Linked DNA regions of Struthio camelus. The protein of the gene in region 1 interacts with the protein of each later gene in a pairwise test. Links are inferred from orthologs where the notes say so. Each region holds a gene or a part of one and is shown on either strand. Other genes may lie near its edges.

Region 1 (16,263 bases):
AGTTTAAACACTTACGTACTAGCCTGTTAGCCTTATTTAGTAGGCCAGTACAAGCTGTAATGAAAACTAATTTGCAATTCCTATGGTTATAGCTGAAATAAGTATTCCAGTATACACTTGCCTCTCTGTCATTTAAATGGAAGTCCAACTGGCAAAACTGAGGAGAGTATTTTGAAATAGCTTCAGTTAAAAAACATTTCAGAAAGAAGGAAAACATTGACTTCAGGAGCTGGAATGTGATGACTGCAAAGCTATTTGATTAGCACGCAACTGTAAGAATCAACTTTATAAGTTTGCAGTGTTTCAAGTCCCCAAAAAAACCTGCAGATCAAAATTTATTTCTTAAGAAACTTTCAGATATTGCTGAAAACAGGTAGATACAGTGCCAGAACAGAATCATCTTGAGCATGCACAGAGAATGTCAAAAAAATAAATATACTTTGACACTTTAAAACAAGACACCGCTAAGGGAAGCTTAAACAAGAAGTTACTCCCCGAAATCCTGCTACAATTTCAAGTGTCTGCAAAGTTAAATTGAAGTTTTGAGGGAAGCTATAGATTCACTATTTCTAAGCAACCTATAAACATATTGAAATAGTTACAGCAGGTACTGTTTCAGAAATCCCTGTCTACACTAAGAACCCTTGCTAATAAAGTTTGCATCTTTCTGCATGTTACATATATTAGTTCTTTTAGTTGGTCTCTTCACAGAGGCACATCAATGGCAGAATGTAACAGAGACGAAAGACAGATCAAGATGACAGAACCTTCCATTAATTTTTAAATACAAAATTTTACCTTGACTAAATTTTTCAGGATTTTAGAAGACAGCAGAGGCTTGAATGCTTCAATTGTAACTGTGTCCAGCTTGATGACATCAGTATAACACTGATACAAAACTGCAGGAATCTGCCATACTTGGCAATAACTCAAAACTAAGTAAAAGTCAAAAAAAAAACCATGTATTAAATTCAGCAGAGAAGAAATCTCAATTCTGCAAGTAAAATCTCATTTTGTTCTGGCCAGAACTTTAAAAAAATTAAAGTTTATAAATTGAGAACTTTATCAAATACTCAGGATCCTGCCCGCAAGTGCAGCATCCCTCATTCTTCCAGGTACACAAGAAACTGAGCTACCAAAAGTATTAAATTATAGCCGGCATTTGTTCCTCGCAAATACCTTAACCAGAAATTACATGATACTGGAAAACAAAAATAAAAGAACTGTTGTTTAAGAAAAAGAAAAAAAAAAGAGACATAAAATTTCAAAACGTAAGAAAGTACATAAAAACGTTCTTTTTCTTGGAAAATTTTCTCCCTTTAGCTCCTGATAGACAAGTTTTTACTCATTGTGCTACTATTATTTTAGTGCCTTGTAATGAAAAGCCTTGGAAGAGTTTTATTATATTATGTAAGAATAAAACTGAATCTAGCTTTTATATCAGGTCCATCAGTCGCACGGTGAAACCTACATCACTCATAGCATACAGAAAGGACTATATGTGCCTCAAGTATGGTGCTCAGATGAAAATAACACTTACTAGGCATTTTGGCATTTTAATTTCTCATTGACTAAATATGTTTCAAACAGCCAATACACAATACACTTCATGAAGATATCCTGCAGAATTTGCTAGTTCTTATGTCCAATATTTAAGGGATAAAAGGAATTTTTTGTCTGTGTTTTTAAATATGTTCGTATTTTACAAGGCAATATATAAGATGTCAAACTGTTAGGAACTAACTTCTGAAAGCTAACTTGCTAGCTAACTCATATAATTAAGTAAATACTCTAATTCTAACGGGATGCTCTTCAAAACATATTTTCTATTGTGAGCAGCAGTAGTCAGCAACATGGTAAATAAGTGAAATTGCAGAATACCAGCAGCAGGAAGATCTCGCACAATGTTAGGTTGTTCCAGCAGCGGGCAGCAGACTGGTTCTTTGAATTCTTTTGTCTTTAAGGCTTTCAGAAAAGGAGATGGAAGTGTTAAGGTGGATTCCTGAGTTTTATAATCAGCTACAGGACATGTTGAAAGAATGGTTACTTGCAAGCCTTCCTTTCTCATACAGCCAAAAACCTGAAACAAAAATGGAGTTCCAACATAAATAAAGTTTATCCTATCACAATAATAGCATAAAAACACATAAAAAGATCAAATTTGAATTTAGGTGCAGACGGCAAAGGGCAGCTTAACTGAAGTTTGCATGACTGACTACAATTGAGTCACAAACTTCAGACAGAAGTTTCACGTGCATTGCATCTGGGATAGAAAGAGAAAGACGACCTCAAGAACAGCTAACACATTTACCAAGTCTTCTGATTCTCGTGAGAGGCTTTTGGTTTTCGGCACTTTCAACTCACCTGCAAATATATTAAAACTTACTATTTTCCGTAATGCTGAAAGTGAGAAGAAAAAGCACTCCATATGAAAAAAGGCCACTTATAACAGGAAGGCAGCTTGCTAAGCTGCAGACATTTTAAACTCATATTTGCTTGTATTGCTCTCCAGACGTCCTACAGAACATTTAAGAAGATTCTTCATTTTAACTACTCAGATTTTTCATTTGATTATATTCGCCTTGAATTGAGAATTGAAAAAGAGAAGCTTAATTTTTCAGTTTTTCTTGAATTCAAAGAGAAGAGTTTCAAAAACTCTGTCAAAACATGGTTTTGGATCCATTGCATACCATCACGGAACATTCAGATGCTGCACAGCCTTCCATTGTTTTTAAAGAACGTCAGTCAAAATGAGCAGGATTATGACAAACATGCATCTTCCTTTGCACAATCCTCTTCAGATTTGTGATCAAAAAGTAAACACAGAATTTGATAAACACTACAGAAACCCACCTGTTTCTGTATATTGTACCAATCACAGAAGAAGAGCTGACTACTCCCTCACACCAGTATGTTATCACTATAACGTAAAACTGACATAACTCTTCAGAAGCACGCATTTTCAAGTTACAGTACATTTACTTTGTTGGAAAAACTGGTTGGGCTGCACTTTGCTTGCAAAATTTTAGCCTGTGTGTTTTCATTTTCTCAGTACCCACCTAGTAAGAAGACAAACGTAGATGTGAAAATCCAACTGAAGACTCTGGTAACACTCAGTAAATTAGAATTTACAAAGTAGGCAGAACAGGTCTGTAACTCACACTCAAAGCAAGATTACCAGCTCAACATCTTTGCCGTACGTTTAAAAATATCAAGAACCATAAAGGCAAAAAATACACAGCAATATTAACCTGGCAAAACTGTACGCTCCTACTACCACTCAGAAACGCACACAATTGAAATAATATATACACACAAATAGCTGGAAAAACAGGAATGCGGACGATGACAGCAGAGCCACCATTAATCTTTCTGTTGTAATCCCAGTTTATATAAAGCACAAGGACATGTGGAATATAGCAAAAACAAAATGCTTAAGGTCATCTTAAGTTTCTAAACTACAAAGTGAACTCCCAGTCCTCACCCTGCAACAAACTGAATTAACTCTTCAACAAGCAAAGGCTACTTTTCCACAAACAAAGGTGTCTCAAGACCCTATATTGCCCAGTCAAGTTACCCCAGCACTTTGTCCTCTCTGCCTTCCCATAATCTTTCTGGTTCCCTCACGCTGTGACCCTGTACGGTTGTCCCTTGCATCCAAGCAGTCCTTCTGATGTGCTGGCTCAGCCAGATGGCAGGTTAGACTGAGCAGATGCCATTTGGTTCAGGCAAAAGAGCTGCTCTCAGTGAATGCACTGCTTTGCATCTCACTCCTCCATCTAGCCACAGATTTATACAACTTCAGCATAACTTAATAGATTTAGCATCTCTGCTTGTTCATCAGATCAGTAAAGAATTAAAGGAAGGAAGGTTGGCAAACCAAGAGCAAAACAGAATAAATAACACTTCTTTGAGGCTAAACAGAATAAAGAAAACCTATAGCCAGATTATCCCCTTGGTTTTATCTTACTAAAATCTACATTAAGAAATTTGGAAAGACGTAAAGACCTAGCAGCATCCATGCACTTGAATGATGCAAGGGCAGCCTATACAGCAAACCGATTATACAAACAAACTGGACAGACAGTGCTTTAGGGGCCACCTTCGTTTAGAATTCCACCTTGCGAAAGAAACTGAGCACGCCTGTCAGTAAAAATACCATCCATCATGAGTTTCAAGACAGGTTTGTTTGGGAATCCTTTGGCAGCTGTACAAATGGAATTATGTTATTATTTTTTAAGGAAGCATTCTCCCAGGATTGAAACGTAGTTGAAGAAAGCCAAAGAGAATTTAAGCCCAACAAGAAAAAGGGCTAGAAAGTAGAAAGTATAACAAAAATAAGACTCTCCAATCAAAATTGTGCAACTGCTCCAATAGTTGCCCAAAGTTGGTGAGTTACAGGAGATATAACCAGCAGGATCTAGAAAAGAATTTCACAACGTTTGCAGACAGGGTATTTGTTCGTTTGTTTAGTACTTGAGAAGAGAAAGCCCCAGTGAAAACAATTATTTACAGGACCATTTGTTGTCATATCAATTTTACCTTTTCAAGCCACTGGAACTGTTGATCCTCGGCAACATAGCAACTGCACTGGCACAGTAAAACCTGAAAAAAAGAACAAAAAAGATGTGTAAAGAAGTGGTTTAAAGAGCACAATGATAATAGCTCTTAATCACGTGTCAAGATGATGTGATTGCAGCCAACAACTTGCTCAATATTCTTGGATTTGTTCCACCCTATTTCAACAATTTTTGATTCACAGCTGGTGTGAAGCAGTCAGCCCTGTCATACACCTTCTTTACATCAAACTTCATATGCCAGAACTCCAGGCAGTCTTACTGAGTAAATTTGAAAGAAATATGACCCCTCCAATTTTTGATGGGATTAACCCAAAACACTGCAACCTTAATGATTTGTGGCGGGGGAGATCGCTCTTTCTTCACAAAGTTAACACACAGATGAATTCGTGCATAAGTCACTTACTGTCGGGTCTGATATTAACCGATAGAACAAACAAAAAGAATCTGTCGGGAGGACGTTTGTTGTGTTGGATGTTCGACACCATTCGTTCCACAATTTCATAGCTCCAACTACTTCCCAGCATACGGAATCCAGAATAAAAGACGACAGGAAAGCTGCAAAGAACGCGACCGTTAATTTATACAGAAATAAAACATCTGTTCTTCAAATAAATACCTGAACCAAATTAGCTTGTTTTTCTGCAAATTCTTCCTCAAGTTGAGGAGATGTAATAATTACCTATTTTTTTACTGAGCAAATCCAGCAAAAAATCAAGAACGTGAATAACCTCACAGCCCTGAGACTTAGAAGAACAATACCAAAGATACATAAAGATCTCTACCATCAAAAACATGATTAGGAATTATATTGCTAGAGTCAACTTTGATGCATTCAGCATACACTAAGAACAAATGCTACTAAACATTAAACCTCTAATACTTCTTGACATAGCAAATTCAACAGATTTCTCCAAAAAAGAATCACTGAGTCAACAAGACAAACCTATTCTACCGGCTTTAGAAAACAAGGACAACAGAATGCAAGACTTGGTAGTAAAAGAGGCCTTAAGCCAAATGATTATAAATCAAAAGAGTTTCAGTGAAACAGAAAATGGATTTAAAATGTATCTGTAGTTATTTTTCAAGAAAACCCATCAAAGGAAAAAAATTAGTTAACTAGAATAAGGACTTCAGGGAGATTTAAACGTAGAGAAGACTTAGAACTTCGTTCTGTATGCTGTGAAAGAGCTATTCAGAAACTCAAGACCTAGGTAAGCGGGTGTGGGAAGGGGAGAGAGAGTCTTAAGACTCCAGGTCTAAGAGGTAAATAAACACCTCAAAAGAGTGCTTTACGAACACGCGAAGAATAAAACTGTGAGAAAAGAGACTGAGGGGGGGAAAATAAGTAAAGTTACTGTTCATTAGATGTTAAAGAAAAAAAAGAGAAGAAATTAAAGTCAGAAATCTCTGTATTCAAGACTCTGTCAAGAATATTAAACTAAAATGTCATTTACTACAGAGTAAAATGGGCTGAGAACAAAGACATTTCCAAAACGGGGACAGCAAAACCTCCGAGACCTTCCTGTACTCAAATAGGAAGAGTTAAATAATACTGTTCCTGTTACTTCATTCAGCAGTTTTTCTAAAATTCTGGGATGTGAAGTAAGGACTTAAACCAACATATTTTGTTTAGTTAGTATAGAGCAATCTGAGAACAGCAGATGTAATACTGTTCAGGCATCTCCAGGCTATTTCACACATACACAGTATTTCAGATGAAACTCTGAAGTATAAACAGAAGTGTTATAGCTTACTGAGCCATAATTTTACATCCTTGATAGATCCCTGTTTCAAAACACTAGAACACACAGAGCAAGCTGCTATTTTCAGAAGCAAATTTCTGCAAAGTAACATGTAGCCCAGGAGAGTCCACCAAACACAAGTCATCCAGAGGAAAATGGCGACTGCCCCAATTAAAATCTAAAGACTTTTGCCGTGATCAGAAAGGATCTGACAAAAATAAGCAGCTGTAAAAGAATCGTGCTGTGTACGTACATACTGTCGACTAACCTTGGATTTCTCTCAACAGATCTTCTCAACAGCCTCAGGCTTAAAACCCTGCCACCTAAATGAAAAACTGGACATACCTACGGATAATTGTCGCTACAGAAAGCGGTGTTAAATCACACCACAGCAAAGGGAGTTCGTAGTGTCCTGACACACTTACCAGACCTCCTTCCAACCTCCCACTTTTCCAGTATTAGGCAACAGTAGAAGAGCAAGGCTATGTAAGAGTCGCCGCTGCTGCTTTTCAGTTTGCAACGCTTACCTGCAGCACTATGCCCTACTGCTACTATAAACCTCGAGCACGAAACTGGCTCTTCTGCAGCCCTTTCCGTCGACGCTCCCGATTTCAAGGTCCAGAGGACGTCGACCTCCCTACCAAAAGAAACGGAGACAACCGGAGCCCGAGTTGGCTACGGCGCAGCCAAAAAGCTTCGCCGCCGCCACCGGAGGCTGAAGGTGTCCCCCCCTTACCCGGGACAGCCAGCTCCTCGGCCGGCCCCTGCGGCCCCGGCGGGCGCACTCTCACCCCAGGCGCCGGGCCGGGCCGCAGACCCTCGCCCCCCTCCCACCCCCACGCGGGCCTCCTTCGGCGGGGGGGGGCACCGCATTACCATGGCAACGCAGGGAACGGCGGGCTCCGCGGCGCTCTGAGCCCCCCCCGACCCCGACGGTACCTTTTCTTCTCCAGCTCCCTGCGGATCTCCCGGTCCTCCAGCGTCTCCTCCGCCGACTCCTCGTCGTCCACGCCGGCGCGGGAGGGCGCCACCACCACCTCCCCGAAGAACGTCGCCATCGTTCCCCTCTTCCCCCCCGCCCCCGCCGTTCAGTCAGTACCGAACGCCAGTCATGCCCCGGCCGGCCGGGCAGTGCGCACGCGCGCACCGCCCAGCCACTCTCGCTCGCCCGCACCATGGAGTTCCGCCCCCCGCTTGCTGCCGCTCTGGCCCTGCAGACCATAGAGCGAGGCCGAGGAGACCTCCCACGGGCGGCCGCTGGGAAGGCGTTACCCCAGTCACGCGCCGGCGGCTGAGCCGCCCGGGCCGGTTGGCGGCGGCACGAGACGGCCCCGCGGGGAGGCCCGTGCGGCGGCGGCGGCTAGCTCCGAGCACGCGTTGGGGGGGAAGGGGGGGGGAAGGCCGAAAGCCCCCGCCCTGCCCCGCCGCCACCTGGGCCTCTGGCACGGCCTCACCGGGTCCCCGCGGCTGGGGTCTGCCTTCACCGCCGCAGATCGTGGAGCCCCCCCGCCCCCCTTACCTGGTTAGGATAGAGGAGGAGGGGAAGGGAAAGGAGAGCACCACTGCGGGTTTCCAGCGTGATTTACGTGCGTTTCTCTCTTAGCAGGCAGAAGGCAGTATCTGATCTAAAGTAGTATCTACCTTATTAAAAGCTGAGCAGCCGAGAGAAGAACTAGACAGTTAATGGCTGAGGGCCCCCGAGAGCTGAAGGCCTGCGTCACTTACAAGCTGCACCGTAGCCATGACAGCAGCATGTTTACTTTAGGTAGCCCACTCCCACCCCCCCAGCTGCATTAGTAACAACGGAGCAGATGGTTCCTTCAAAGGCAGGGAGGTAATACAGCACCTGTTTTGGGTTCCTTACGGCATACAGAGACAGAAAAAACCGATACAGCAAGATTAAACATACCAAAGGTTTGCAAATAACAATACAGTGAAATTACAGTTGTATGTATAGCTTTACTTTGGTCCACTTCTACACGTACATCATAATGAAAGTCTTAGTAGTACTTAAAGAATTTGATTCTCCTATGCTTTTGTCCTGCATCTTTAGTATTTTCCTCTGTTCGTGCTGCTTGTTAGCCTATTCATTATCTCAGATTCAAGTCCTGCTTAAAAAAAAAAAAAAACAGCTTAGAAAGGCATTACATCAAGCAGCTTTAAATAAAGGTCTACTAAATCACTTTATTTCCCTGAGTGCAGCTAGACCAGACAAAGAGTGCTGAATGATTAAGTTTCCAGGAAGATGAAAGAACTGCTTCTGCAAGGCTTAAAAGTAGTAACCTGTGACAACAGTTAAGTACACTTGCTTAAAAAAAAAAAAAAAAAAAAAAAAGGGCTCACAAACTCCGAGAGGGTTAAAAAAAGAGTTCAAGTATTCATCTTCCTATTGGTTCTCTGCAACCTGTCCATATAAATAAAATCATAAAGTACAAAACAGCATTTACTTTGCTTGTAACATAAAATTTTATGGTCCATAAGCTATTAATTCCCTCTCAGATATGTGAGTACGGGGGCCAGAACCTGTGCTCAGCTTTCTAGGATCATCATGAACGTATAAGAGCAAAAATGCAGTATGATAGAAAATACAACACCTGGAAAAGGAAGAGAAAGAAAAGAATCTTTTTAAATCTAAGCCTGAATTAGAAATACAAACCTACCAGCCCAATTTCAGCTGTTTAAACTTCAGATTAATAAAAATTCTGAAGCTCACTTACAAGCTATTATACTCATTTTTTTGCCCCTACATTGGCAGTCAGACTTCATAGAACACTGATCATAAGTAGCTGCTAAACAATTCATTCCATTTATGGATTAATTTGCTTATTCTCTTTTAACAAAGATGCTCCTCATAAGGTAAGGTACACAAAGCCACTTCAAAGAGCCAAATTTCAGTACTAAACACAAATGTGTCCCTATTGAGAAACCACCTTAAAATATTCAGATAAACAGGTACTTTGAATTTACAAAGTTAAACTAATAAAGACTACTTCTAATTAAAAAAGCAAGCTCCTAGGGCAAAAATGGTACAAACTAGGTTATCACTGGACTTCATACAGAAGTCTCGAGGAAGGGGCGGGGGGGGGGGAACAGGCTTTTCTCTATATTGAGATACCAATCAGATACCAAAATGATGTGATGGCTGATGCACATTTTGGCACACGATATGAGCAAACTTGTTGGAGAAGTGGTTTTCACTAACTGCTGTTAGGCAGTGGTTGGGACTCCATTTTCTGTTACTTCACTTCCATTCACATAAGCTGATACAATGAGAGCTTGATTATGCAGCTATACTGCTTACAGTTTTTCAAGACTTTTCCCCATCCAGATATTAGTACCTGTCCCATCTGCTGGAAAACTAACTCACAAACTTGCTATTTCAGTTAAAATAAGTTGGGTTGTGACAAATATATGAGCACATATCCGTCCTCTTGAACTAAGATCAAGAATCACATAAATCAACCATTTGAGAAACTGACCCAGAAGAGCGGAGGCAGGAAGCTATGGTGGAGAGTGGGAAAGCAGCAGAAATCGCCAAGAAACTAGTGCTGTGCAGTAACCTTACAGCTTCAGCAAGCACAGCTCCATGAGTACATGTCATCAAGGGAGGAAACAGCTACAGCTGTGGCAGCAAGTTTCCTACTGGCCAAGGGGAGGCCAGAAGCTGCTCCTTGACCAGTTAGTTCTCTAGTAAACTAAGCACACCTCAGGAAGAGTTGGATAAGAGTAGAGAATCAAATTAGGTGTTGTGCATTCCTCTTATCTGATACCTGGCCATCCAAGAATTTATACATTTTAACAGAAGAAATATTTTCCTATCTTCTGAGAAAAATTATTTGTTGTCAACAACAGCTGTCTTACGCGTTCCAAAAATAGGTAGATAGGGTACTACAATAATCAGAAACCGATAAGGTTTAATCAGTGCAGCAAAGTAATACTAAAGCACTTGAAGTTTAAATATGGAAGAACAATGGAAAAATAGCAAAAAAGGTACGGAATGTAAGAATGAACCTCAATCATTTCACGCAGAAAAAAAACAGAACAAGTGTTTTGTTTGTTTTTCTGTTTTATAAAGAAAACACACAAAAACCCTTAGGCCCAAGAGTTCACCTGCATTTCATATTCTTAAATTTACAGTATAGAAGTCACATTAATGATGATGTAGTACTACCTGTCAGCATAAACCCTCTCTTTACCAGCACCATGATGCCTTTTTAATCGGCAAATATGCTTTTCACTGGTAACTGGTTCTAGTTGTACGTTTTCAATATTGGAAGTACAGAACATTTACCATCTGTACTAATACAAGCTGTAATGTTATTAACCTAGTGACCATTCATTGCTCTTCTGATGCAATATTAGCATCCACCAGATTTTTATAGTGTACAGTATTATTTATAAGCCTGTTACTATTGTATAAGATTTCATACAGCATTAGAGATGTTTGAAATCTGTTCTTGAATGTGTTAATGTTGTATGACCTAGGTAGTATTCCATTGCAGCACCCATAACAATAATACTCAACATACTGCTATTAACCTGTTGCGCAGTGTTTTAACATTTTTAACTCTTGTTATACGTAATAAAATACCAGTAAAGACAAAAAATTGCCCCTATAATGAGGCACATTTTGGCATCTGTGCTAAATGCTGCTACATGGGCAGGCAAGTGCAAGTCAAAATATGAAAAGGAGAAAGTCATGATCTAATCACATTCATAACTTTTTCATAGAAAAATATAAATATATTCCCTGAAATGTAGGACAAAGAAGAGCCAGCATCCATCACGAGTTCTAGTGCTATTACCATAAAAAAAAAAAAGTGTGCTGGCTTTTCTTTTTAAGGTTACGTTTCACAATCTACATCATCTAAACCTCTATCATCGTCGTCGTCACAATCGTCGTATCTCACAGTCCGTTTACCCCCATTTCGAGTTCTTATCTTAGAACGCCGATTAGCTCTTCTGTATTTGGTGTAATCCAAATCTTCAGAGTCATTTTCTTGATTAAGTTTACAACATTTCCTTCGCTGGGGTCTTCTGGAAGGCTTAGGCAAATTGGAGTTTGAGATTTCTTTTCTAATGACTTCTGCTTTTCTTTTCCTCTTTTTTGTTTCTGTGGCATCACTAGAGTTATTGTTGTCAGTTCCAGAGTCTGAATCAGAAGAACAATTGAAATAGGCTTTTGAACTTCCTGCGGTCCCAGGTGTTTCCACGTTCTCCGATACCGAGCTTTTTTCATCTTTCCTCCCCCCTGTTTCAGATTCTGCTGTTTCTTTTAAATCATTCAATAATTTTGCTCTTTTGAAAGAAGTTCTAGACTTTTTATTTGATACCTCTCTGATATTTTTAGTTTCACGTTTGGCTAACTTAGAATCTGCCTCATCTTCAGAGCTGCTCACTCTACAGTTGTTGTGGGCTGAAGTTGACCGACTAGAAGTTTTCCAATTTCTCCCATTTTCCACACTGTGGTTTCTGGAATTCTCCTCTGAAAAGTTGTATGTGGCATTTTTAAGAGAGGCAGCACGGACTGTTTTGTGTGGCTGCTTGTGGTTATCATCACTCTGCTTTTGAGTCATTTTTATCTCTGCCTCAGAATCTGTTTTTTCATTTTCAGATTCACTGATGTATTTTCTTTTAAAAGCAGAATTAGAGGAAGAAAGTTTTTTTCTGCCAGCAAACTGTTCTTTCTCACTTTCAGACTTTAAACTAACATCTATCTCGGAGCTGCTGATCAGTTTTTTCCTGGATGCTGCTGATCCATTGCCATGAAGCTGCCTTCTGTTCTTTTTTCCTGTGCAAACGCTTTCTGAGCTTGATAGTTCTTCCTTTGTATCACTCATTATCTTAATCTTATTAGCTGCCAAAGTAGCACATCTGCGTGGATTTTTCTTCTCCGTCACATTAGACAGCTTTATATGTTTTTTGTAGTTAATTATACATGTCCTGCTCCTGAGCACTTTTCCACTTTGTCCAGTCTCCTCAGAAGCCGATTCTATAAAATAAAGATTTGAAAGTTAAAAGGCTTACATTTCTGGAAAAGTTAGTTTACTAAGCACAAACACAACTGCCTTTAATAAAATACACAAATGCTTTTTTCAACTCTAATTGTTATGTGCAATTTACATTAAACCTTTATTAAAAACATTCAGAATCAGTCCAAGGAACACTTTTAACTCTCAGCATTACTCCGTAGCATTACGCCTTTGCTTTGAGGTAATCAAAAGGGTTGGAAAGTAACGTCCTTTACCATAACACTACTTGTAGCTTCCAGGTAACAAATTACCTAACTTAGCAAACAAACACTTCAACATTATGAATACTTCCACTGTTAAAGCTGTCATTTTCTTCCTAAAACGTCCTTTAAAAATGAACTATCACACATTTCAGACTCTTCATTCTGAAAACTGCACAGTAACATTTTATGCAGACACAAGCATTGGACGGATTTCACTATTTCAGAGTTGTTTCATATACATAGAGAACATTTAAACTACTCAGTTCCTCAGTGACCTAAACAGTAAGACTGCTTCTAACACTGGACTCAGTATTTTTAAGACAGCACTTGCTTCTTATGTTGGGTTTTAAATAAATATTCAGTTTGTAAATAATATGAATGATGTTGCCAAAACAAATGATTTAAACCTTCACCTTCTAATAGATCTTGCTCAAACTAAAAGTTCTTGAAGTAGATTTATCAGCATAAAATTGATAAAAAACAAATAGCATTTTGCTATTTTAGCAGAAATGTCATTTGCAAACTTAGTTTTCCCAAGTTTGATGTCTATCACATCTTTCTTTGGAACAGTTACTGATTTTATGGACAAGCACTCGCTCTGTGAAAGCGTCCACTAATATAATCAAAACATTAGTCTATCAACTCCGCATAATAGAATAAGCATTCAATTTTATTCCAAATCAAACTCATCAGCTTTAATGATTCTCAACCTACACTCAGAAAGCACAGGAAAAAATAATGGCAGTGGCTATACGTTACTTTGCAGAAAGGTAGGCAGCTAAATATGTTTTAAACTAAAAGTTTAGGGACCGTACCATACAACTGAGATGAGGTTTTCAGAGAAAACGCTCTTTCTCACCTTCTTTTACAGACAGATAAAGAAAACTACTCTGCTGATTTTGTTTAAACTTTTTGAACTGCTATCGAACTGCAAGGCCAAACGTCTGTTGAGAACGATGACTATGACCACCCAGACATTAGAACACCAGCCTAAGGTTTAAAACCATAGTTTGGTTCCTTACTCCTCTGGTCAACTTATCGCGCTAGCATTGGCGAGTCATTTGATCTCTTTTTGTGCCCTGATTCCCCCCACCTGTGAAATAAGGATAGGGTAATATTTTCCCTAAGTTCTGACAAGAATAAATACAGTAAAGATGTATTATAAAAGACAGTGGACAATTAAGTTGAAGAAAGTAACAGAACACAAATTCAAAATGTCCAGTTTGAGCATCAACATTAAAAATCTCTTCAGACACCAAACCTAGACAACATCATTTTCAAGGTAGACTTCATGTACTAACTCAGTATACCTATTCTGGTATTTCCAGAGGTTAATTTAGTCCGTACACTGTCTTTTCTAATAGTTTCCAGAAATTATACACTTTTCCTGCTATTTGTACTATGTCACTTTATTGGGAGAACCTCTTCCGCTGAATACTGTGTATTCAGTACTATAAAAGGCCAGCTTAACTTAAATACTGTCTTCCAATACTATTAAGCAAACATTTAAGCAACATAGGGCTGCTGCTTGTAACAGTTATTATGGGGCAAGCCTGAGCAGACAGGAACTTAAGAGATTTAAAGTGCTAAATTATATCTTAAACAGGAAAATACTGGAAATACATACAACAACATGCTGCAGCCTCCTAGTCACGGCAAACAACAACACACAAGTTACTGGTACAAAGAGACATTTTGTCCAGTTAACAAGTGTAGAAATGCATAACCCAGCTTTAGGATTAAGATTCCTCTACAACTTTTCGAGCTACACTCGCATTCTAGAAGGGCAATTAGGAAAGGTTGAAAGGACTGCCCAGCCTTAATACTGAGTGCTAACCAAATCACGTCTGGCCACCTGAAGAAATACACGTTTCAAGTGGTAATCCCTTAAGTTTTAAACTATTCCAAGGAAAATCAACAAAAAAGAAAGAATGCCCACAAGCTTTTCGTCAGTTGAGATGGGTGTTTAGGTACTTGCATCTAAAGGTGCATACTTTTAAAGAAAAAAGCTTGACCATCACAACAGATTATGCATATTTTCTGAATTAGCTGCTGAAACTCTGAGGACAGAATGCAAGGCTGAAGGATAAAAGCAGCATGACAGTCCACTGAAGACAGAAGTCCAGTCTTCCTGCAACACTGCCGTTGGGTTAAATCTATGCTTTACATACAAAGTCTTAAACTAGGCACAAATACGTGTAAAGCTGATCTTAATTTTTAATTCAAGCTTCTTACCAGAATTAAAATCAACTCCAGAATAACTTAGTGAACATCCCCACACACAATAAGAACACCAAAATTTGCATCTGCTTAATGAAACTACGCAATACCAAACTCTAAACCTGCAAGTCCAGACCGCAAGAGAGGGTACGAACATCCAGCCATCTCTCCAAGTCAGCTAATCAGCAGGTTATATCACAGCCCACAAAGTGTTTCTCACACCCAGTTTACCAACTATTCAATTTATGTGGAAACTATTTTGTTTTTTTAAACAAAAGCACAAGTATACTCCAGCAGTACCTAAAGATAACTTTTAGGAGAGCTAATTTGCTTAGCTTCGTATTTACAGAAATCGTCAGCTTCTTCAGAAAAGAACAATTCATACATCAGTTTGGCAAACCACAGTAAATCAGGTTGCGATAACAATGCACCTGTCACATCAATCGTCTGCTGAGGAATAAAATGAGCTATAGAAGGCACCTGCTAATTTAAAAATTGTTATTGGATTACCTGCAATAATATTCCTAATTAGATAAAGGTTAGGTAAATTAAAACTGAAAATAAATACTTTGTATTTTAGTGTAAATATTTTCCAAAATTAGCTACAGTTCCTGTAACAGCCAACTAATTTTTCAGTAGAACACTGTGGGGAACGGCTCACAAAAAGGCAGGTAAATTATAACTGCCTGAGAGCTATTTGCCTATAAATAACAACGTACAGGACAATGATGTACTCCCCTTTCTCATGAAAGAAGGTCTCAAATTTGGCCCCATGTCTTCAGCTCCACTGCTTCCGAATATACTGGAAATATGATGATAATTTTTTTTTTTTTTTTTTTTAAAGTAAACAGTCTACAGAAGCCTCATCTTTGCAGATGACTCTGCTTAGCCTACAATGAGACCGAAACAATACAAGTATTCATTACTACACTTTATCCTTACCAACTTTTAAAGAGCATATTCATGACCTTTCAGAAATTTAGGAATACTCACTCTTCGCCTATACTTACCATAGCTTTAACACTTTCCTTGAGATGGGCCCCCTTAATTTGATTTAAAGCATTTTAAAAGATCATCAATTTAAACTGTTAAAAATACACACAAAAACACAACTGACATTCTGCCATATTTGCACCTCAACATTTGGGATGTTACACATGGCAGGGGAGGTTAATCACTTCCAGATAAAGTAAGATCATTCCATAAGAAATTAACTACTTTAAAGTAAAAAGGTGAGTATGAATGCAAAGAAAAAATACTGTTTATGCACTGATTCTCATTAAAATCTTTGGTAATTTTATGGTCATTAAACAGATGCTGCCCTTGACAACGCAACTTATAATGCACACTGATGCTTGCCAATGTTTGGCGCCAATTGCAAATTAAAAAAAGCTGAATTTGCTTTTATGAGTGGCAGCTTTACCTAGTAGATGAACATTGATTACTAAAGAAGGTATGTTCAAAATAAAATTAAATTCATTTTAAC
Region 2 (16,618 bases), on another chromosome or scaffold:
CTAGGATGAATTTTTCAGTGGAAATCCCTATATTGCAAAAATTGAATATTAAGATTTACTGACAGCATATTTTAGCACATCCACAAAACGACTATTTTTCAAAAGAGACTTTTCCAACTCTTCCTGGATTACTCCAGAATTTAAAGTTGTGGCCTGCATGCTAGCAGGGATTCATGGATGAGACCTTAGAAAAGCAAATGAAGAAAAGCAAGCTTATTGTCAGAGACAGATATACTGATAAATAGACACTAACAATAGTAGTAAAACAAATGCGAAAGTCCACTCTAAATCCTTCTTGTCTACTACAGTCCTCTTTAAAAAGATTCTCAATAGGCTATTATTTGTAACTGACAATGCTATGAAACGGATTTAATCCATAGATTTGCAGCCTGTAACGTATTACTAACTTCAATTACAATATCCAGCTATATTATCTCATACAAAGACTATTTCATGTACCTTGTTTCTACACAGAAAAGCAAGAAGGGTGCACCACTGTTCTTGTTTGCCACCACCTCCTCCAATGACAGGAGCTCTTTCATAACCCAGGACACTGACAAATCGTGATGCTTGTCTAGGTGTGTCTAGTAACCGGCCTGCTCGAAGTGGTCGGATATATGAACATACTGGACGGTTTATCCCATTTTCATCCTGAGCATAAAATATGGTTACTTGTCAGCCATACAAATACCACAAAAAATTCATCTTATGTCAGACTCTTTCTTGCACTGAGATCTACTATCCCCAAAATAAATAGCACTCAAGATTATTAAGACATAAAAATTCTCCTAGAATTAAGGCACAATAATTCTTTAAGAGAGACACTGAAGTTAGATTTTTTTCCCACTGGCTCTACCTCCAGACTAAGAGTTCAAACGCTCCAGACTAAGAGTTCAAACAGTAGGAGCACTACAGGCTGAAGTCCATTTCCTTAAATGAGTGAGGAACTGTTCATGCTCCATCCACAGTCAATTTCCACATGTCATCAAGTCGGGGAAAAAAAAAAAAATCGAGTTTAAAAGGTAGTGATTTGCTTCTGAATTTGAACACTACCTCCTCTCATAACACCAAGAAGCAATGAAATTTAATCACAATGAAGTCCACAGATTTACACAAACTGAGAATGGAGAGATGAATAATTCTAAGAATTTCTGATTTCTTGGAAAAAATGAGAAATAAGACTGGAAAAAAGTCTGCTCTACCATGTGTTGCAGGGAAATACTATGATTATCAACTATTAAAACTGTTTTAAGCAGTACCTTTCCTCACTGTGCCAAATGGTACTTTTATATTCCTGTATTTAAAAAGGCATCAAAGCTTGTTATATTTCTGCAGCTTCAGGAAATCATGGTCTGATATTTTTATACTCAAAAGTTATCAGCTACTGTGGTCACATACTGCCCACGTTAAGGTTTTGTCATGTTTTTCCAGCAGGTTGGTATAAGAAAAGCAGCAGCTACTGGAAGCTGACTGGAATCCTGTAGGAAATGAATTCACAGGCAGAAAGCAAGTAGAGATCACAGTCAGGACTCCATGTGTTTTCCAATATAGTCTCATATCTGTAACGCATGCTTCCGTACTATGCATACAAAAGTGGATGATGATGTGATAATTGAACTTCTCTTACAATTCTGATAATCTCATTTCTCTATTTCCACTGGCATTTAGTCTACCATTATAAAGCTTTACAGAGATTGAATAAGATTATTGTCGAGTGATTTCAAAATGCCACAAGTCTCATTTTTACCCCATGTCCCCAACCAAATTTCCAGTTCCACAATTCCCAATCCAATCACAGGTTTTGCTTCCCTACATACCCTGCTTTGAAAACTTTAACCCTAATTTGGAAGCTCACCTCACTACTGAACACTCACTGCACAGCCAGAACAGTAGTTATTTCACTGAAAAGAATCAGTAGGTACCAATTGCTTCAGGAAGTGACTTTGAGATAGCAAGCTACCGCACACCATCCACTCTAGGAAAACTGCTCCTATTCATGTTAATTCATAGCACAGTAAATGCAAAGTATTACACCATTTCTTTTACTAAGGGACAGTTACCAAGGAGCAACTGACACACAGTAACTTATTCCCTTAGTATAATTTGTTCATATGTCTACAGCTAGCCTGCAATTCTAACTGGCCAAATTACTTTACAGGCCACACAGATCTCAAATACTGAGTGGATCATGTAGCATGTCTACTTTTTATAACTGTTTCAGCTGGTATAAAACCTGTTTGAAATAGTTTGTATAAACCACTTGAGTCTTTGTCATTTGTGAGAACTGAAAGGAAAGACTAAACCAACTTTAATTTGTACACTGGGGGTTGTAACGTAGCCCTTATTTCTGTATCGTTAAGCTTCGATAATATGTAAAAGTTCAATCCTCAGAAACTTCATTCTTTGCATGCTACACCAGCTGTAGCCCTGACCTGACTGTAACCACATCATAAATCTATACACATTCTACACACATAGAAACTTCAAAATAGATGTACAAAATATAAGATATCTACAAAATAAGATAAGAACAGATTGCTCTATTAGTAGAATTTACAAACCTGTGCAAAAATCTTTACTAGCCTTATGTTGTGCGTAGGCCTAATCTGTAGGTATTCTCTCCACCACTGTTTAGCATATACAAGAAATAATCGTTCTTTTTCTGCTGTTTTCTGACGTTCCAAAGAAAACTGCAGGTAAGAAAACAAAAACAAAACAATCCCACATATATTAACTCCAAAGACAAAAATCAGAAATTAATAAATATATTAACATCAAATCCTGGCAGAGGTGAAATAAAGCTTTAATATTTAAAACATGCCATACAAATGAAGAATTGTATTTTCAAACTAGAATTCAAGGAATGAAAACCTCAAGTTATGTTTCTTATTAGAAGGCTCATGTAAGCTCATATATCAAGCCTGACTGAAACGGTGTTCCTCTTTAGCAACACGTTTCTGCACAGGATTGCTCGGCTTGTGAAGTGTGGAAGAAAACCTGCATTTACCTGCAGGCCAACATTTACTGGCTTTACAAGCAGGAAAACTGACTGTTTAAATGATTTTTCAGATGAGGGAGAGAGCAAGGAAACACAGCTACTATCTGCAGAAAATTGCAGTGCAGTTGAAGCGCATTGCATCTTTCTTATTTTTCTTCTTAAGGTTTTGATAAAGGTAATTTGAAAACTGCTACAGTAATATTTCACATAATGATCAGTATATAAAAATAGTTTAAGAAAATGTAATTATAATGTAATCAAATTAAAAACAATTAATACGAGACATTCAAAAACCTCACCGGCATTAACATCTACGTGAGTAATTCTATACTGAGTTTTTCCCTCTCCCCCTGCCCATATAAAACAAAACAAAAAAGTCAGCCCACCCAGAAATCACTTACTTGAGTATTAGTGATTTCTGGAGACAGCATCTTATTTAGCTGTGGATACATTTCAAGCCTGATGTTTAAAACACCGACAGAAACCTTTGATTCTGTACCTTAGAATCAAAATACATTTTGATTAGTCTTTTCAAAATCTTTTTACTTACAACATTCCAGCCATACAGGAACAAGAAGTACAAAAAATAATGCCTTTCAACATATGCAAAATAAGTATCTTTATTTAAATGTCACACTAGAATGAGCCAAATGACACTGAAAGAAAGGGTAATCAGACTGAAAAGAGAGGTATCTACATCTTAGACAATTATCCAAGTTCCATTTACAGCCAACACCAGGATATATGATGAGTAGCGTTCTAGATGTGCCTAGAATAGGTACCTAAAATAGATCAGGTGAATCACACTGAAAAAGTGCCTGTTTCTACTGACCACACAGGTAGATCAGACGTAGGCAGTTAAAACTGAGTTAAGTTAATCTTCCCTGAGATACATTGTATTATGAAGGACCCAGTACGCTATAATAATACATTAGTCAAAAAAACAAAAACACTATTGCTGCATAAAGCTCAACATTTAGAATTAGATAAACAGTAAGAAGAAAAAAAAAATCAGAGAGATGGGATTATAAGTAATACGAGTAACAGAAGCCTCATATAGGAGTTTGTCTATCTGAGATGACAGTATCTTTCCATATTATTGACGTATTTTGTACAATGACAAGACTTCGGAAGAGAAAAAGCACTGGATTTAGATATTGTTTCTTCATTATTCAGAAGAATTAACAGTAATTAGACTTAACTTCCCCTTCTCCCCCAAGTATCATGCTCAAATTATTTTGTATGCATTTCCAAATAATTATAGACGAAAACCTCTCTACTTGAAAGCCTACCCAAAGCCGTATTACTTAGTACGCTTTGTCAACAGTCAGCATATCCAAAAGTAACTAATGCTGATAAAAAAAATATTAGTAAATAAGGTTACTAGATTTGTGTCCAGTGGATAAACACTGCACTAAACCATCCCCCAAAAAGCAGGTAATAGAGATAAAATTTAGGAATAACTTACATAGTAAATCAAATTTTCAAAATACTTTGCAGATATAATATCTTATGAAATTAGAAAGGACTGCTTGCCTAACAGGTCGAGAAACTGTGATAAAGAACGCTCAAATGGCTCATCAACTACTACTTGCCAAGCCTCTGGGAGAGCTAGAGTAGGAAGTCATAATAGATTTAGCCCTGTATCTAGTCTTTATCTACTAAATCATAATATCCTGGAAACTCCTAAAGGGCCATATGCAGAAGCAATACATAAAAATACACATGTATACTGACTGTGAAGCACTTAAACAAAGCTGGTCCTCCATTCTAGCAGAAACGTGTTTCCAGCAACCAGAACAAATGGCAGCACAGCAGAGAAAACTTCATCTACCAGCTGCTACTTTGCTGTGAAAGGGACACACTAGATTTTACTCTTCAGTACACTAGCCTGAGATTTTCATGGATATTAATCAGTTGAATGCGGGGAAGAGGCAGGAAGCTTTGATAACTTATGCAGATTTTGCAAAAAACACATAGTGGAGAGTTCCCATCTGACAAGGGGACCACTATGACAGAGGGTCTAGAATACACACTTTTAGTATCTTGATAACAGTGAAAAATCTGACCATTGGTCTCCTATATAAATGTTTTCTAAAGATACCTTATATCAATTCATGAGTCTAACCATAATTAAACTGCATACTGCTTTGACCTTATAAGCAAGCTCAATAGCCAATATTTTAAGTGTTTGCATTTTACCCTTATTGTGTATTCTTACCTACACCAAGGAGTTCAACTGCAACATTTGTTACACCGTTCTCTGCAGCCAAGACAGATCGCCACTCCAAGAAATAGGATGCTACTAGTGTAGTCTCACCAAATGTGTCTGTTTTGATCAGAACCATATGCACTGGATCCGATATTGATAACATAGTGGTTGCATCCACCATTTTACTTCCATCACCTGCCATCATTAAACACAGACAGCCAGAATGTTACCATCCCAATACCGCCTTAAAATTAAAGCATATGCATTTACATTCCTTGCATACATTACCTTTTAAGAAAAGTGTAAGCAACAACAATCCCACCTTAAACCAAAATAAGATTAGGACAGAGCTACAGAAAGATTACAACTGATTAATTGACAGAGGCAATAAACAGATTTCTATATTTGCCTACTCCAGGGTAACTCATTTAATTGTACAAAAATTAAAATTGAAATATTATTAAAAAATAAGAAAGTTATTTTTATGTACTAATAAGTAAAAGCAACTGCAGATGCGTGCGTTATTATTTTAATAAGTGGTAACACTTCAGGTCAACTTACTATGCATCCATATTTAGGAAGCAGCTTCCTCTGTAGTTAAGCTCTGACCCTACGAGATAAACTGTTCCATGAGCAGCAGAATTAACAAAGCCTGGTCTTCTCCGAATTCGCAGTATATTCACTCTCTCTCACACAGAGGCCTGCTATAACTCTAGCCTTCTTTCTGTCCTCTGACACTCCATGACCTACCCTGAATTTCTACAGGATTCAGACAGTATCAGCCTCCTCTTCCTTTATCCCAGTACCTTAAGATTCCCCTGTTTATTCCAGAAACCGTTTTTTAAAACACACATAGCTCCCTACTATGTTCCCCAGCTAATAACAGGACAAAGACAGTATAGGCTGTGGATAACTGACTGTTCTGCAGGTGTTTGCCAACTAGCAGGCAGACTAAACTCACGCAGAAGCTTTTCCCTCCATACGATAAAAAAAAGGTCTCCTTTCTTCACTTCTCAGCACAAGGTTCAGGAAAACATGAATCTACCATCTTTGGCACTACTATCTCACTGTTACATCTGGATAAAGTCGGTTAAAAGTTACTTTGGAGTGGAAAAGAAGGAAAATAATAGGTAAGAATCAGTTCTAGATCTAGAAGTAGCGGAACCTGATACAGCAATTGTTTTTCTTAGGAATACATTATAAAAACAGGCAAAAAACATTAAATAATATCAAGCACATTTTAGAATAACTGTAATGTTAGAATAAAAAACGGCATCCACTGCAAACTCACAGTCTTCCTTACCCAGGCTATCCTTGTGTACTTCAAGTAAAAAACCATCATGAAAATCTGGCTCACAGGCACAGGGGACAGGTTTAGAACGGAAGCGCTGATTCCGAAAATGCAAACACAGAGTGAAGGTAGAACAGATTTGGCCAGGCAAAGGCTCCGGTTCCTGAAGATGTTCCAGAAAAGCTTTTCCGCCCAAAACCTGAAGGTAAAGATACCTCCGTGTTGGGTTAATATTAGCTGTAAAGCGTAGCAATAAATATGAAGAAACTACAAACAGATCTTAGGAAGTATGTTTAAAATATCTGTTATCTAAGTGGAGAATAGAAAAAAAAAAAAACTCTTTCAAAACAAGTGCTTAGGGGAAAGCAATTTTAAAACTTATGGAAGATAATATACAATAAATGCTATTTTATGTGCAACTAACTTCTGCTGTTTATATGAACCCACTTGCATCTAGACAAGTAAGAAAAACATCTATTTCTGCACAATATGGAAACTTTAAATGAATCCAATTCGCTCTGTAATATTAATTCAAAGAGCTCAATAAACCTGCACTTAATTTATTTTAAAACTATAATCCAAACATTAAAATAAACAAGCAACATACCTTTTTTCAGAACTGGTGGTTCTCTGTCAACAAAATGCGTAGATGGCTTTGGAGCTGAAGTCCTCTCCTTGTCATTCACTTCCTGGAATTGCAATTAGACTTCTTAAAGAATCAAGTGAGGCAACAGTGCTATTCCTGTTGTCTCTTAAAAATTAAAAGAATTCTCTCTTTCTACTGACTGTTGTTTCTCAAATATATTGCCTTGTAGGATTTAAGATGTAAGGGAACTGAACAAGTACTTTCAGTGTAATATTAACACTAAACCAACTCAGTACTTACAACTCAGTAAAGCTAATATAAGCACTTAGAAGTAATTGAGTCTGCACTTTATAGTAAAAGAGCTGTCATAACATCAAGTCGATAATAGGAATAACCAAAATACATTCATGTTTCAAAAGCTACTTACAGTTACAAATTTAAGCTCTTTAATAACATCATCAATGATTCCTCGCTGTCTTAAGGCTTTTATCAGGTCTTCCGTGGATAACTGTTGATGCTCAGGTGCAAACTCTTCACGTATAGTCTCAGCAAGAACTTCTCTGATCTTGCCATGAACATCCATCTGAACAGAAAATTCATCATATGCTAGAAATACATGTTCAAACTCTCATAAGCTTTGTAAATAATACTTCTTAATAACCCCCACAGTATTTAAATTCGCACTCAGCTGTATCACAGCAGAATGCAAGACTGGTCTCTTCAAACTTATTTTCATTTTCCTCCTTGATTGAGGCTTAAGTATGATAATAAGAATAAAAGAAATGAAGCTCCTTATATGGTCACAGTTAGCACTAAAACGTTTCTCTGTAAGGTAACGGGTATTCTCCTAGGAATACAGAGATAACTGCACCAAAAGAATACCTCTTTCTGCACATAAATGTGTACCAAACAACTTTTTATTGTTTAGTGAGAAGTACCGCAGCAAGTCACACTATCTCACCAAAGCAACTGCACCAGTTAAGAGCATTCCAAACCTGAGCATTTCCACTGCTTGTGACAGCATCCCCAGCCTCGAACATCCCTTCTCACCAACAGCCCTGCAAATCCATTGATTATAAAACTTCCATGCTTTTAATTTCTCTTCTCCCTCAAAATTCAAACTTATGGCAATGTGTGTATGGGAAATAAACTGAATGTTTTTGATCAGGTACATCCACCGTCCTATCAGCCCTGATGAGCCTCCACTAGCTGAACAGCCCAAGCCACTGTATCCTTATCGCACCATAGGATGTGTCTTCAACCATCAAAAGTTCTTTGGAAACTGTCAGCCCTCTGATGCTGTGGAGGTCTGCGTGTTTGACCTGCAAGATGAATCTAAATGGAAACCCATGAGCGGAGAAGCAATAAAATCTGTGTGTTCCCCTGGAACAATATCTTCAATTCCTCCTTTTCCTCCTCTTACTTTTTACAGAAAGGAAAAAAAAAACTTTAGATTGTTGCAGGTAAGGCATACAAATAGGGAGCCTCCATCGCAAGCTTTTTCTATGATCATAAAGCCAGAATTTCTGTACTTCGATGGCTCAGCTGTGAAACAGCATGTATTCCTAAAGTTGTTTCTCCCACAGGAACGATGCAAGGCTATAGCCACTGAGACACTGCGATACTTCCGCGATGCGAGCTAAAGCACTGATATTTCTCTCCCACTGTTTTCAAAACCCCGCCCTAGTTTCTCGCTCAACAAGCGGCGAGCAAACAGACGGCCTCCCGGTGCCTCCGGCCGCCGTGGCTCCCCCCCTCCCCCCGCCGCCTCCTCTCACAGGGCCGAAAACGCCGCTCCCCTCCGCCGGCCCTCCACGGGGCAGCCCCGACAGCGGGAGCGCCAGCACCGGGGGGGGGGGGGCGATGCCAGCTCCATCGCCCAGAAAAGGGGAAACGAAGGGAAAGAGCGAGGACGGCAGGAGAGGGCGGGGAAAGGCCGGAGGCCAAGGCGGCCGTTAGACCAGAGCGCTGATCCTCGCAGGCCCTCTTGGGGGGAGGGGGGGGGCCGCAAGCGCCAACATGGCAAAACAGCACCTCGGGAAGTACATGAACCTGCTGAAGTACGGGGGGGGGGGGAACAAAAGGGATGGGCGAGGGAGCGGACACGGAGCTGGAGGCGCCTCCCCCGCCTGGGCGGGCATCGCTGCCTCCAAGGGCCGGGGGGTCCCTATCACCGACGCACCGGGGATTTCTCCGAGTAGACGAAGTCGCTCCGCGCTCAGGACGGGCCCCAGTGCCCGGGGGCCTCTCCACCTTGTTACCGCCCTCACCTTGACCAGCTGCTGGTGGATGAGCTGCTTCAGCTCCGAGGCCTTCTCCGGCGGTAGCGACATGGCGGCGGGACGAGCCGCGACGCCCCGCACTCCGGCAAAGGGGCGGGGGGTGGAAGACCAGGCCGCCGGCCTGCGCGCCGCGGGCTAAGCCCCGCCCCCAACCGCCTTTCTAACGGCCGCCGCGGCGGGCCCGGCCCCGCCCCCTCGCGGGCGGAGCAGCGAGGGCGGCGGCGGTTACGGCCGTTGCGTTGGCGGCCGTGCTCGCCCACTCGCCTCACCGGGGGAGGGGGGGAGCCTGAGGTAGGAGGAGGGGGGCGGCTCTTTTCTCTTCCTGCCGGCATGTTTGTTCCGTGTGACCATGGCAGCGGCGGCCCCTCCGCCAGCTCGGACTTTGACGGCTTCACTCTGCTCGTGGTAAGTGGCCTTGCTGCTCCCCTCCTCTCGCCGAGGCGGCCGTGGGGAGGTGCTGCCAGAATGGAGCGCTCCGGGGCGGGGGTGAGGGACGTGCTGCTGCTCGAGGCCGTGGCTCTCGGGGCGGGGGGGGGGCTTCCTACAGCTGGGGCCTGAAACAGCGTCGGAGGCTTTGGCGGGCGCGGACGGGGGCTTGTCCGCGCGGCTCGCTCCCGCTTTGGGGGCGGCAGGCCGGGGACGCTTTCCTCTCCCCTGTCCGGAGGTCGGCCCCGGAAACTTCTCAACGGCCTGGGGGGAAGGGGGGAGAGAGGCTATGTACACTAGTCTTCAGTGGCAGATTCCTTAGCTGTGCTATATTTAAGCTGAGCTTGGAATTGGTTTAGAAAATACTTTAATAATTTGTAACGTGAAATCGATGTAAGATTAAACTGCTAGAGGTTACTTTGTGTATTGTAGGGTACGAATTCTAGTACAGGCTGTGAAGTAGCAAGCCGTTATTTTTCCTATTAGTAAGTGCCTTTACTTTATCATCTAAGGGTAACCTTATCGCCTTTCATCAGGGCCAGATCGCCCCTGATGACTGTGCATATTTACATGAGGTACAAGATTTTATACAGGAAGTCATTCCAGATCAGCTGACTGGGAACAGGAAATAGGTCATTGCTATTTTCTTTGTCTAGGAATAACAAGCTGTTGAGCACCAGGCAATTTGTAATGACGGTCTGTAACTGCTGTTACATCCTTTTTCGCTCTGAGGTTATCGGCATCAAATTCCTTGTGTTTCCAGGATTGCTGGCCCTTGGGCAGCAGCAGTTCATAGGCACGGGCTTGCTTATAAATGAGTGGGAGGCAACTGAAAATTTTACAGTTGTCTTCCATTTTCAGCTTCTGTAGAAGGACACAAACTCGCAAACTGAATTTTTCCTTGTATGCTCTCAGATTGGGTCAGCATCAGCTTTGATTGGTGATAACATATGCTAATTTACTTGTGTTTTTAGGACAATCTGGTATTTATAGATTTAACGTGCAGTATCGGCATTGCCATTCACTGTCACTTTGGGGCTGCCAATCTCTGCATTAGATTTTGGAGTGATTTTTATCTACTCTGTAGCCAAAAAAGGGGGGATTGGGGAGGACACGAGGACACCAGTCTCCAAGCCTTTTTTTTTTTTTAAGTTTATAATGAGACAGGATTATTGACAGAAGCAACCAGTATGTATTTGTGGCATAGGGACCACATTATATATTAGTAAGCTGTTAACAAGTAGTAACTTCTGTAAGAAAATGGTGCCACTTTAAGAAATCATATGGTTAACCGGAATTCAGCTAACTTAAGTTTTCACTGTTTGCAAAAGCATGCTGTATTGTCCATAAAACACGCTGCAATTCTTTAAGTGAATTATGTCTTTACTATTGTAATGCTAAAACACTTCTGTTACTTCAGCCAGCAGTGTCAGTGGGAAATGTTGGTCAACTGGCAATAGACCTCGTGATTTCCACACTGGACATGACTAAAGTTGGCTACTTCTACACTGATTGCCTTGTGCCAATGGTTGGGAATAATCCATATGCAACTGCAGAAGAAAACTCAACGGAGCTGAGTATAAATGCTGAAGGTATGTATTGAATGCAAGCTAGATCTTAAATATTTGCCTGTAGAAAGCAGTTGTAAGAATGTTTCTCCTTTTTTTTCTTACCTTTTAGATGAAGTTCAATAATAACTTTTGTAACCAAATCTCTGACTCGCAGATAAGAATGTAAATTTACACTTTGTGGAGGAAACTTACTTTTGTTATTTTGCATAAATAGTTTGAAACATGGAACCGGTAAGAAATGTTGAATCTCAACCATATTACAGTGCTGCTGAATCTCTCTGCAGTTTTAATCCTAGATAATGTGGAAAGTGTGTCCATACCTACAGTAAAGCATGGCATGCAAGCTAAATTAGAGTATAAAAGGATATTCGTCCTGTCTTCTTCCTTCCCACCTATCTTTGCCTTTTCCTAGTGTGGAGGGTTTTTTTTTTTCTTTTTTCTACCTTCAAGTTTTCACTTCCTTTCTGTGTCTTGATCATAGCATTTCAAATTATATTGTTTTTTCCTTTTAAATCATGGAAATCTCGAGATAATCTGTCGTAATCTCTGCAAAGCTGTATAAAGAGTTTATCTGAGTCACTGCAGGAGATAGTTTTTGTTTTGTTTTTAATAAATTTTTACTTCATTCAATCCTTTGTTTTTATGCCAAGTGAAATTAGATTCAGTGAAGATGATGCACAAAAATACGTATTTTTTTACATTACTGAAAAGCCTGAAATAATTCACAATTTGGTAAGAGAGCTGAAAGGTTTACCTCAGATTTATGGATTGGATAAATCTGGATACTTCTAAGCTCAGATCCTTTTTTTTTTTTTTTTTGTTATGCACTGTTTTATTTTCTCCTTGTAGTGTATTCATTACCTTCAAGGAAACTTGTAGTTCTGCAGATCAGATCACCTTTTATAAAGGTACGTATGTTCATTGTTCTCACTTCAGTGTTCAAGTTCAGTTGTTCTACTGGCCAGTAGTTTTCAAATGGTCTAGAAGAATTTACTCTATTATAATATCTTAAAATAAGCACAACTGAAAAAATTCGTGCTCCCTATTATGAAATAATGTCTTAACAGCAAAATATACATTTTAAAAAAAAAGCAAAATGTTTTTCTGCTTAGTGATATAACGTCTTCCGTAATTGATAAAATTTTAGCTAACAAAAGCTGTCTCCTACATTCATTAATGGTTGAGATTTGTTTGTTTGCTTGTTTGTTTCAAGCTCTGAAACAGCTCAGCTAATTCAGTAGAATTTAGTGAAAATATGTCCTTAGTTATTAACTGTCTTGACAAAACAATATGGTCTGTTTCCCGCCTGTTTATTTTTCTCTTCATATTTATTGTTTTTGTGTATTTGTCTTTTCTTAAATAGCTTAATTTTTGCTGTCACCCCCATTTATTTCCTGCTGTTCTCTATTCATTATATATAAACAGTTAAAATTAACTGTTAACTGTATAGTGGCTGTGATTTAAAATGGGCAGAACACCACACGAGAGTAAATTGTGTTGTAGTATTTTTGGCAGTTTAAATTGTGGGAAAATACTGTGGAATTTTATCATCCCATATTGTTCTAAAGGTTTTCCCGTTGATATTAATGGCACACAGAATGAGTGATACAGTTATTATTAATGTGGTTTTCATAATTTTTATAATTATACATATATCTTTGATTAAGTAAACAACCAGTGTCCTCTGCTTTTTAAAAATATATCTGAAGACTGAATGGATATGAAGAAAAAAAAATTTCCTCACTGCTGAACACTAAATATAACATCTAGTATTGTAGACTTGTGGCTTTTCTTAAGGGCATGAATTTTTTTTTTTTTTTTTGGTCTCTCCTCCCCCCCCTCTCTCTTTGCGTAAAGAACAAGTACAGGCCATTCTGTCAAGCACTGCTTTCTTGGGTGCAAACCAGCAAATGTGCTAGAGTTATTCTTCTGTCTAGCAGCCATGCATACCAGCGCGATGATGAGCAACTTCTTGGGTATGTGTGTGTCCTTAAATGATTTGATTGTTTTTTCTGTTATTTTTGGCAAACTGGCATATATACTTAGTACTTTTTGGCAGGGTTCTTTTGCTTTACTGTGTAGGTAGATCATAAGATACTTAATATATTATTAAAATAGTGTGTTATACAGCATTAGGCTCTGAGCTTTGTTAGTCTCCTGACAATGCTGAGCAAATAATATGCCATAAGTAAATTTCTGCTTGGCCTGCACCATCAGCCTCGATTTTAACAACTTAGTTTGTTATTGCTGCAAGCGCTGTCAGGGATTAGCTGCTAACATACAGCTCACCGATTAGATTTTTAACGTTTAGTTAGAATATTTGAATTTCTTACCGCTTCTTAATTATTCTGCATTTTGGGTTTTCTTTTTTTAGTAAGGTATCTTTTTATAGGCAGTTACCAATACTTACCTGCTAGGAAAAAACTACACAGAGTTTTATTAGGTGTGCCTCCCCCCCCACCCGTTAAACAAAAGAAAAAGCATAGCTTGATGATCGAGGCCTTGATAATCTATGACTTACCAAAAAAAAAAAAAAAAAAGTATTGTTCAAAATGAACAACTCTTATCACCAGGGTGTATAAATGTTCAGAGCCCTGAGGAGGTCTAGGTCTATGCATGTTCTAGATATAGTTACCATTGATTTTGCATAGAGTTTCTAGAGTGGTCAGCAGACATGGACTGAAATGAGGGAGACTGATGGTTACTTTATGTATTCCGAGTTCATCAGTTGTGGTGACTTACTCTGAATAAGTCTGATACCAGAGAGACACTAATGAGTGAAGGTAATGCATTAAGGAAATACTGAAAGACTTAACAGAAGTCTGCAGATATTTGTAGTTTAAGTTTATTACAAACATTATATCAAAGTGAAGCCCAAGCTTACTTTAACTAACTTTAATTGAATAAATTCCCATCGGAAGGAAGAATAGCCACCATTTCTTTTGTAAATCATTTTAAGAAGCCTATAACAGTTCTCCTATTTAAGTGCTTGTATATTTGATACCCTCTTTTTAGATGCCCAAATTGGCACGTATCTTGAATACTCAGGGGGAAAAATAATGGCTGAGCTTTTTTAATGCTTCTGATGCAGTGGTGATTTCTGAAGGAAGAAATTTATCTAACTTGCTTCAGATTCAAGTGTATTTTTGCAAAATGTATCATTTGGTTATATGTGTGGCAGAAAGTTGAACAGTACTTGATGCATGCAGCTCCTTTCCACCGCAAGTAATAACATCTATGTTGTCTTGTTTTCTCACACTGAACGTATTCTTGATTTGTTCCTAGAACTCCTCTACGCTACCTACTCACACCTGCTCTTGAGAAATCGGTGGAAGGCCTTATGCAAGGGTTAAAATGGAAAGAAATGGAAAAAGTAGCAGCTTACCCTGGAATAAGTGATACAGAGAAAGTTCTACATATACCAGGAGGTGGCATCACAAAACTATTGTTTACTGAGTGGTGAGTGAGCTGCATACAGAAACATATGTCTTGTTTTTAGTACATAGGTGAAATTGTTTTTTTAAGCTACTGATTCACTGGTAGGAGGCATAGGTGGATTTTGTAACATCGTCTCTCTTAGAAATACTTCCAAGCTCTGTTTTGCTTGTCTTTATGTTTATCCATTCAAGTGGAAGACTTGCTTTTAAACGGTGTGTCACACATTTTTATTTGCTGCTGTTTAAGTCTAGAGCTGCATCCCAAGTATCTCTTTATTCTGCCTCTTTTTGGTAACTTCTTCCATTTATTTGAAGTATCTTCATTTGATGATTAGAATGTTATTGTGTAGGTCATATTTTGATTTTTCAAAAAGATTTGGGCAAAAAATGTTCAGAAGCATTGGTTTTGGTTGAATGAGTTAGGTTGATGGGCACATGCTTTGATTTACTAATACTGCAAACTCATGGATTTCCTTCTTCTTCCCCCTCTCCGCTGGCCTTTTGAGGTAAACTGCACCTTTTCATTTGCTTTCAGATTGGGATAAACTTAAAATGTTCCATCTGAGATTAAAGCCTTTTAATTATGTCAAATCAGGTGTATTTAAGAATCCATGTGTTAAGCTTGATTATCTAATGTATTAGCCCTCCCTTCACTGACCAGTTAGATTCTAACTTACTTTTTTTTGTCCCTCTTTTTTTCTTTCCCTGTATTAATAACTATAATTATCAGTGAACTTCTTCAGCTTCTAAGTATCAGCTGTCTTCTACTCTGCCTGCCTGAATTTTCCTTCTCCATAATCTACTGTTGACTTCTTAAAGCGGGAATTTTATAAGTAAAGTAGTGGTATGCAGGCTGCAAAACCAATTTTTGAAATACAGTGAAAGATGTTCCTTGTATCGAAGGGTCTGTGTAAGTGCCTCAACAAGAGGACAAAAATGCAAACTAAGTGCATAAGCAATGCACTGAGTAACTCTTCCAAAGTCTGGGATTCCTGGCGCAGAAAGTCAAGAACAAACCCAAGACTGAGAAAACATGAAGCGTGCAAACACAACCAAGTGAAGCTGGGTGGTGTTGTGGGGGGTTGGTTGGTTTGTTTGTTTTTAGTAAGCCTTATGCAGATTGTTGTGCTTAATTCATAAATATCATTGTTCTGGGTTAATTAAAAAAAAAAAAAAAGACTCTGCCTTTTTTAATTGCAGTTGTTCAGAAGGAATCCAAATGGCAGTTCTTCTGAAATTCTGCTCTGAAGGCGACAATATCCCTGATGCATTTGCCCTTGTTAACTATCTTAATGAATGGCTCCAGCTAATTAAAAATGAAGTGAGTGCTGTTTGATCTAGAGTTCTTGCTTTCTTATTTTATGTCAGTTATTTTCATTTTTGGTTGAATTTAGAACCTTAGAAATGTTTAGCTATATTCTGCAATTTTAGACTATCTTTTATGGGTTGGGTTCACTTTGGCCTTTGGTCACAAGGATAGTGCCAAATATATTTTGATTACATTATATGTTATATTTTTTACGCTTTCCTAGCTTAAAATATGCAATCCAAAAATATAATAAAAATATAATATGACTAAAGCCATTCTGGGAATTCACAAGAGAAAAAACTAACCTCCTTGTTTGACAGGCGTGGAAGAAGTTGTCTGAAGGTTTGAAATGGTTTGATCTTACAGTAGTTTTCTCTAAAGCAATCAATAATTGGATAGACACTTGAAAGGCTGTCTATTGTTTTAATACATATGCCAGACATAGAACTATATTAAACTGCATTACAGTCTTAAAGCTTATAAAGAATTACTCTGTTCCTGTTGCA

The links.
Region 2: the proteins of PSMG1 (region 1) and PSMG2 interact in binary tests that used the Homo sapiens proteins (3 or more experiments, as listed by UniProt). The link is inferred for Struthio camelus from reciprocal best matches to the Homo sapiens genes PSMG1 and PSMG2.

What each region holds. Positions count from the first base shown.
Region 1 is NC_090942.1:123,298,105-123,314,367, forward strand, and holds the start of PSMG1 (proteasome assembly chaperone 1), read right to left. Parts: upstream 8,075-16,263; 5' UTR 7,842-8,074; intron 7,818-7,841; exon of another isoform or gene 7,390-7,817; 5' UTR 7,381-7,389; coding exon 7,262-7,380; intron 6,960-7,261; coding exon 6,850-6,959; intron 5,136-6,849; coding exon 4,984-5,135; intron 4,606-4,983; coding exon 4,543-4,605; intron 2,081-4,542; coding exon 1,882-2,080; intron 936-1,881; coding exon 799-935; intron 1-798. Other genes in the region: BRWD1 (bromodomain and WD repeat-containing protein 1), read right to left, coding at 11,167-12,314. UniProt on the Homo sapiens protein: Chaperone protein which promotes assembly of the 20S proteasome as part of a heterodimer with PSMG2.
Region 2 is NC_090943.1:113,580,689-113,597,306, reverse strand, and holds the start of PSMG2 (proteasome assembly chaperone 2), read left to right. Parts: upstream 1-9,531; 5' UTR 9,532-9,699; coding exon 9,700-9,774; intron 9,775-11,215; coding exon 11,216-11,387; intron 11,388-12,215; coding exon 12,216-12,274; intron 12,275-13,223; coding exon 13,224-13,342; intron 13,343-14,651; coding exon 14,652-14,825; intron 14,826-16,003; coding exon 16,004-16,124; intron 16,125-16,618. Other genes in the region: CEP76 (centrosomal protein of 76 kDa), read right to left, coding at 460-651, 2,562-2,690, 3,400-3,497, 5,220-5,405, 6,514-6,738, 7,109-7,190, 7,515-7,670, 9,358-9,420. UniProt on the Homo sapiens protein: Chaperone protein which promotes assembly of the 20S proteasome as part of a heterodimer with PSMG1.